Linked DNA regions of Macaca fascicularis. The protein of the gene in region 1 purifies or fractionates together with the protein of each later gene. This does not show direct contact. Links are inferred from orthologs where the notes say so. Each region holds a gene or a part of one and is shown on either strand. Other genes may lie near its edges.

What was found.
Region 2: the proteins of BIRC3 (region 1) and BCL10 purify together in Homo sapiens (affinity purification with western blotting; 5 studies listed by BioGRID and IntAct, with this or other methods). This does not show direct contact. The link is inferred for Macaca fascicularis from reciprocal best matches to the Homo sapiens genes BIRC3 and BCL10.

What each region holds. Positions count from the first base shown.
Region 1 is NC_088388.1:101,334,299-101,338,126, forward strand, and holds part of BIRC3 (baculoviral IAP repeat-containing protein 3), read left to right. Parts: 5' UTR 1-936; coding exon 937-1,789; intron 1,790-1,891; coding exon 1,892-1,991; intron 1,992-3,828. UniProt on the Homo sapiens protein: Multi-functional protein which regulates not only caspases and apoptosis, but also modulates inflammatory signaling and immunity, mitogenic kinase signaling and cell proliferation, as well as cell invasion and metastasis.
Region 2 is NC_088375.1:149,371,040-149,374,867, reverse strand, and holds part of BCL10 (B-cell lymphoma/leukemia 10), read right to left. Parts: intron 1,476-3,828; coding exon 1,120-1,475; 3' UTR 1-1,119. UniProt on the Homo sapiens protein: Plays a key role in both adaptive and innate immune signaling by bridging CARD domain-containing proteins to immune activation.

The DNA.
Region 1 (3,828 bases):
CAATTATATTCCTGATGATCTATGGGAAATAACTATTATTTAATACATATTGAAACCAGATTTTAAGAGCGTTAGCCAGTCCTGTTATTAGTAAAGCTCTTTATATGGAGAGAAATTTTAGATTGTTTTGTTCTCCTTATTAGAAGGATTGTAGAAAGAAAAATATGACTAATTGGAGAAAAATTTGGGATATACCATATTTCATTGAATTCAAAATGTCTTCAATTGTAAATCATACCATTATTGTATGTACCTCTAAGAAATAAAAGTGCTGCTAATTAAAATATGATATGCCATTAATTATAAAATACTTCTTGATAACAGAAGTTTTAAAATAGCCATCTTAGAATTTAGTGAAATATGGTAATGTATTCTTTTCCTCCTTTGAGGTAGGTGTTATGCTTTTTTTTCCTGGCTACTAAATTTCACAATTTCCAAAAAGCAAAATAAACATATTCTGAATATTTTTACTGTGAAACACTTGAGAGCAGAGCTTTCCACCATGTAAAGAAGCTTCATGAGTCACACATTACATCTTCAGATTGATTGAATGCCACTGAAACATTCTAGTAGCCTGGAGAAGTTGACCTACCTGTGGAGATGCCTGCCATTAACTGGCATCCTGATGGCCTAATACACTTTACTCTTCTGTGAAGGGTTTTAATCTTCAGCACAGCTTACTCTGTAGCATCATGTTTACATTGTATGTATAAAGATTATACAAAGGTGCAATTGTTTATTTCTTCCTTAAAATGTATCAGTATAGGATTTAGAATCTTTCCATGTTGAAACTCTAAATGCATAGAAATAAAAATAATTAAAAATTTTTTCATTTTGGCTTTTCAACCTAGTATTAAAACTAATAAAAGCAAAGCCATGCACAAAACTACCTCCCCAGAGAAAGGCTAGTCCCTTTTCTTCCCCATTCATTTCATCATGAACATAGTAGAAAATAGCATATTCTTATCAAATTTGATGAAAAGTGCCAACACGTTTGAACTGAAATACGACTTGTCATGTGAACTGTACCGAATGTCTACGTATTCTGCTTTTCCTGCTGGGGTTCCTGTCTCAGAAAGGAGTCTTGCTCGCGCTGGTTTCTATTACACTGGTGTGAATGACAAGGTCAAATGCTTCTGTTGCGGCCTGATGCTGGATAACTGGAAAAGAGGAGACAGTCCTGTTGAAAAGCATAAAAAGTTGTATCCTAGCTGCAGATTCGTTCAGAGTCTAAATTCAGTTAACAACTCGGAAGCTACCTCTCAGCCTGCTTTTCCTTCTTCAGTAACAAATTCCACACATTCATTACTTCCGGGTACAGAAAACAGTGGATATTTCAGTGGCTCTTATTCAAGCTTTCCATCAAATCCTGTAAACTCCAGAGCAAATCAAGATTTTTCTGCCTTGATGAGAAGTTCCTACCACTGTGCAATGAATAATGAAAAAGCCAGATTACTTACTTTTCAGACGTGGCCATTGACTTTTCTGTCGCCAACAGATCTGGCAAAAGCAGGCTTTTACTACGTTGGACCTGGAGACAGAGTGGCTTGCTTTGCCTGTGGCGGAAAATTGAGCAACTGGGAACCGAAGGATAATGCAATGTCAGAACACCTGAGACATTTTCCCAAATGCCCATTTATCGAAAATCAGCTTCAAGACACTTCGAGATACACAGTTTCTAATCTGAGCATGCAGACACATGCAGCCCGCTTTAAAACATTCTTTAACTGGCCCTCTAGTGTTCTAGTTAATCCTGAGCAGCTTGCAAGTGCGGGTTTTTATTATGTGGGTAAGAAACTGAATCTGCTAATTTAAAAAAAATACATTTCATTTTATACATTTCAGTGGGCAAATTGTGTGTATTCATGTTTTGGTCCAAAATTAATTTTAGGTAACAGTGATGATGTCAAATGCTTTTGCTGTGATGGTGGACTCAGGTGTTGGGAATCTGGAGATGATCCATGGGTGGAACATGCCAAGTGGTTTCCAAGGTAATTGTTTTGAAATTCTCTTTGCAAATTCTTGTGATTATCATGAGATTGCTTATATGTGTTTACCTTAAATCAGCTGTTACTTTACTCCGTTCCAAATATATATTTGTGAATAAGTTTAGGATGGATTACTTAGCAAAATACTTAAAAAGTTTTGATGGACTTAATGAAGAAATATATTTGGGGATTTTTGTTTAATTTTTAAAGAAATATATATATTTAAATAATACATGCTCATTATAAAAACAAAGTCACACATTGTAGAAAAGTACAGAGAAAGAAAATTAAACTGTCCAGAAATCTTACCACCTGAGGATGAACATGGTTACCATTTTAGTGAACATCGCTCCAGACATAAAGAAATAAATGTATACAATACATATACATATAGAAATAAATATCCATATAGAAATAAATGTACACAATTTTACATAAATTAAATATTCTATTTAGTTTTGAAGTTTTTTTCAGTCAACATATGTCTTGGATATATTTCCATTCATTCAGTATTCAATAACAATTGATCACCTATTGCCAGGCATTGTTCTGGGTGCATAAAATCAGTTGAACAAAACAAAGACCCCTGGTCGCCTAAGTTTGTATTATAGCAGGAGAGAACAGACAATTAATAAAAACTTGAATAAGTTATAGAGCATGTTGGAAAATAAGTACAATCAATAAAAAGAACAAAGAGGGGTTTAGAAATGCCAGGCAGGTTACAATACTAAATCAGGGTAAGTATAGTCTCATCTCATGTGTTTTAATTGCCACACAGCATTTTAATGTGATATGTTACCCTTTTGATTGTTTAACTGGCCGCCTAGCGTTCTAATTAATCCGGATCAGCTTGCAAGTGTGGGTTTTTATCATGTGGGTAAGAAACTTAATGTACAAACTAAAATACCAGCTTCAAAATACTTTTTTCACATTCTCCTTTTTCATCTAAATCATGTGGCCTAAAATTACATTTTTTCATGATCAAAACTTTTGCTATTATTCAGCTCGTTTCCCATTTGCCCTGAGAATACTGCACTGGCGACAAGCTGCACTGTTTTTTTCCAAATGGGGAAATGGGTTAATATTGATTAATAAATGTGGCATCTTAACTTATTTTGATTCCTTTTTTTTCTCTCTTTTTTTTTTTTTTTTTTTTTTGAGATGAAGCCTGGCTCTCTTGCCCAGATTGGAGTGCAGTGGTGTGATCTCAGCTCACTGCAACCTCCGCCGGTTGGGTTCAAGCAATTCTCACGCCTCAGCCTTGCTAGTAGCTGGGACTACAGATATATGCTAGCATGCCCAGCTAATTTTTGTATTCTTAGTAGAGACGGGGGTTCACCATGTTGTGCAGGCTGGTCTCAAACTCCTAACCTCAGGAGTTTGAAGTGCTACCACGCCCAGCCAACATTAGTGTGTTTTCAAGAATCTTAGAAGACTTGAAGAGAGTAGCTAAGAGCTGTGAGGAGAGATGGACTTACTTGACCTCAGTAGACTGAGAGGCTCCTGACCCTTGTCCACTTGAGCCTTGGTAGATTACTAGTAATCGCCTTCCTCTTGCTTATATCAACCTGCCTTTCACTACAATATCTCTGATCATTCTCTGTATGCTAAATGAATAGTAAAGTGATTATATGTATGTTTATACTCATTTGAAATATTTATACTTCACAATATATTAAAAGTAAATTGATTATATGTATGTTTATACTCATTTGAAATATCCAGTCTACAAATGGCTGGATTAGTCCTGCCCAAATTAAGATAAACATTTAGTGCTTTTCAAAATTAGCTGAAGTGGTCGGGTGCAGTGGCTCATGCCTGTAATCCCAGCACTTTGGGA
Region 2 (3,828 bases), on another chromosome or scaffold:
TTTTTTCTAGTTATTTCAACTGTACATTGGTCCTCATTAAAAGAGAATGAAAAGTACAGAGAAAATATTTTTTTAAAAATCTCATCAGGCTAGGCGAGGTGGCTCAAGTCTGTAATCCCAGGACTTTGGGAGGCCAAGCTGGGTAGATTTCTTGAGCCCAGGAGTTCAAGACCAGCCTGGACAACATGGCAAAACCCCATCTCTATAAAAAAACACAAAAATTAGTAAGGCATGGTGGCACGCACTTGTAGTCCCAGCTATATTACTTGAGAGGCTGAGGAGGGAGGATCACGTGAGCATGGGAGGCAGAAGTAGAAGTGAGCCCAGGTTAAGCCACTGCACTCCAGCCTGGGCGATAGGGCAAGACTCTGTCTCAAAAAAAAAAAAAAAAAAAGAGAGAGAAAAATACCTCATCAAATTACATCTAATAACTGAGGTTTAGGCCAAGATATTTGTCTTTAAGAATGAAAATGATTAAACCAAGAATGTGAAAATCCTAACAAAGTAGTATAATTAGTAATGTTAATTAGAAATGAATGTTGGCAAACTGAGATCTGAGGTGGCTCATACTCCATCAAGTGTTCCTCCGGTCTCAAAAAAAGGCTGTTTAAGTGCCTATATGGAGTGGAAAAGAGATTTTTTATTTTTATTTTTCTATATTGGCAGTTTTCCCATCAGTGATTGGTTTTATTACTGAACAGGAACAGCTTAATGCTGAAAATTTGCTGCTGAATGACTGGCAAAGACTATTAGACTGAAAATTTCAAGCACAAATGCACTGAGGAAAAAATGTTCTTCCCAGTAAGAGTCTATTCTCAAATAGAGATATATTCCCTATTAAAATCAGTCTTAAAATAGAAAATATTTTAAAAAATAGTGAAAGACCTTAAAAAGGAAAAAAAGAAATTACTAAAAAGTACATGATCAACATGATTTACAATTAGCTATCTTAAAAGCATGCTTTTTTAATTCTAAAAATCCTATTTACAAAGTATGCTTACATCGCATTTTAAAAGACATGTATCAAATGTAAACAAATCATTACAGCCATTTTATAAAAAGATTCATATTTTTTAAAACATTTTTTGTCATCATTAAAAATTAAAAGGCAATAAAGTGTCATTGTCGTGAAACAGTACGTGATCTTAAGGGAAGAAACATCTCACTAGAGTTTCCACAAGTTCCTTCTTCTTCTAACTGCAGGTCTGGCGGCAAAGGAGGAGCCCCTGGGTCCCCAGGTCTGGGAAGTGTAGTTGAAGAGAAGATGGTATTTTCAGTTCTGCCTACTTCTAGAACAGGCAAATTCAGAGAAGAATTAGTGGAAAAAAAGGGCGTCGTGCTGGATTCTCCTTCTGGATGGTACATGACAGTGGATGCCCTCAGTTTTTCAGAGAAATTACTCTCATTTGAATTTGATCTGGAGAGGTTGTTCGTGGCTCCATCTGGAAAAGGTTCACAGCTGCTACATTTTAGTCCTACAATAAAATTATTCATATGTAAATGAAAAAGTAACTAAAAAAAATGGAGTCACTGTCCATCTTGTGACTTGTTAAAGATTACAAGCTAGTTACCCCACAATCAAAATTTAAATAGCAATTTATAATTTCTGTCATAATCTATTTCAAATCTAATTTGCTTTTCTCAACAACCATGAAGTATACTATTATTTGCATTTTCTAGATAAGAAAATAGTCTCATGGAAGTTAAACGACATGTTATAATTCTTATTTAAGGTACAGTGTACATATAAACTTAACCATCTAAAATTTTTTATAAAATAAGAAATAGCTTTCACAATAAATATTCTTTAGTATTCTGGTACAAAAAATATTAGCCAATAAAAACAAAATGTAAACAGGGCAGATGCTAAAATTCTATCTGTTGATCAATGGCAATGGCTAGTTCTTGAATAATAGGATATTAGAACTAAAAGGAATTTCAGAGGTCACCTAGGATAGTCTCTTATTATTAAAAATGAGAAAAAAGGGCGGAGCATGGTGGCTCACAGTTGTAATCCCAGCACTTTGGGAGGCCGAGGTGGGCGGAACATGAGGTCAGGAGTTCGAGATCAGCCTGGCCAACACGGCGAAACCCCGTCTCTACTAAAAATACAAAAATTAGCCAGGCGTGTTGGCAGGTGCCTGTAATCCCAGCTACTCTGGAGCCTGAAACAGGAGAATCGCTTGAACCTGGGAGGTGGAGGTTGCAGTGAGCCTAGATCGTGCCATTGCACTCCAGCCTGGGCAACAAGAGCAAGACGGTCTTTAAAAAAAAAAAAAATAGAAAAAAAAAAAGGCACAGGACAGTTAAGTCATGTCCAACATTCCAGGACTACTTTGTGGGAAATTGAGAACTACAATTCAATAGATAATGTCCTGTTTCTCAACCTCATAGTTTACTCAAATGACAGTGGTTGTTCCCAACAGCTATGGTATGAATGTATCTGCCAAAATTTCACATGTTGGAAACTTGGTTGCCACTGCAGCAGTGTTAGGAGCTGAGGCCTTTGGGAGGCAACAGGGTCATGAGGGCTCTGCCCTGGACTAATGCCATTATCATGGGAATGGGTTACTTATTTTGGGAGTTCGACTCCTTTTTCTTCCCTTTCACACTCTTGCCCTCCCTCACTCTTCCATCTTCTGCCCTTCCACCATGGATGACCCTTGCCAGATGCTGGCACCATGGACTTGGACTTAACCAGCCTCCAGAACTGTAAGAAATGAATACATTTCTTTTCTTTATGAGTTACCCAGTCTCAGGTATTGCTACAGCAGAAAACAACTTAGATACCATCAAAGAATTTTATCACATCCAAGGGGTATAGTTAACCATTATCCACAGGATTGAAAGAATAAACACAAATACAATTTACCCTTCTGTTAGGCTTAGCAAATATTCAACTTACAGGCACAGAAACCCTGAGTTGACAATTTTTAGGTAAAACTTGCATAGTCTATAAAGGACACTTACATGTCACTTCTTCCACTAGTTTTTCAACCTTACAGTCAGCATGTCTATTCCATGCTATAGAAACTACTTTCTTAGATATGGCTCAAAAGGGAAAACTTGTAATGTGTCCCAGCAAGGGGACACTTACAGACTATGAGTTCCTTAAGGGCAGAACCCTAAATTATTCTTTTCTGTATCCCTAATGCCTAGAACAGCTGTAGAACGTCACATGCACATTTATGTGTTCTGGAGAGAGAGAGAGAGACAGCAAGGAACAGAGAAAGGAGGGGGTTGGGGATTTAAATTGTGTAGGCAATTCCACACAATATTCCAATCAATGAGTGTATATTCTGGAGTGAGAGTCAAATGGGACAGGTGAATTTGCTATTCTCTTAATGTTTCCATGCTTTCACATCCTGCCAGACTAGTTTCAAGTCACGAATATTTTATGCAACGTGATTCCTATAAACAAGTGCCGATTACTTCATCTTGTGATCGATCAACTGGTGATCACAAGAAAAACTAGCAGAGTTGGACTTTTAAAATACTTTGCCTAAATACTGTTCTTTATGTGCGATGTACAGTATTTTCAGAGGTTACTCTTGAATAATTTTATATTCTGCTGACTTTAGAAACAAATCCTTATGTATACAGGGATTTCATAATAGTTACGTTTTCCATAAATGGTATTAAATGAATATAAATGCAGTATATTGACAGATATTCCACTTTTTCAATGTAGTAAGGTCATATAAGGTAAAATAAATGCAAATTGAATATAATTTTGAAGTTTAAACTCTTTGAAAGCCAAATGATCATTTCTGGTTTTTTTTGTTTTGCTTTTTTGAGACAGGGTCTTGCTCTGTTGCCCAGACTGGA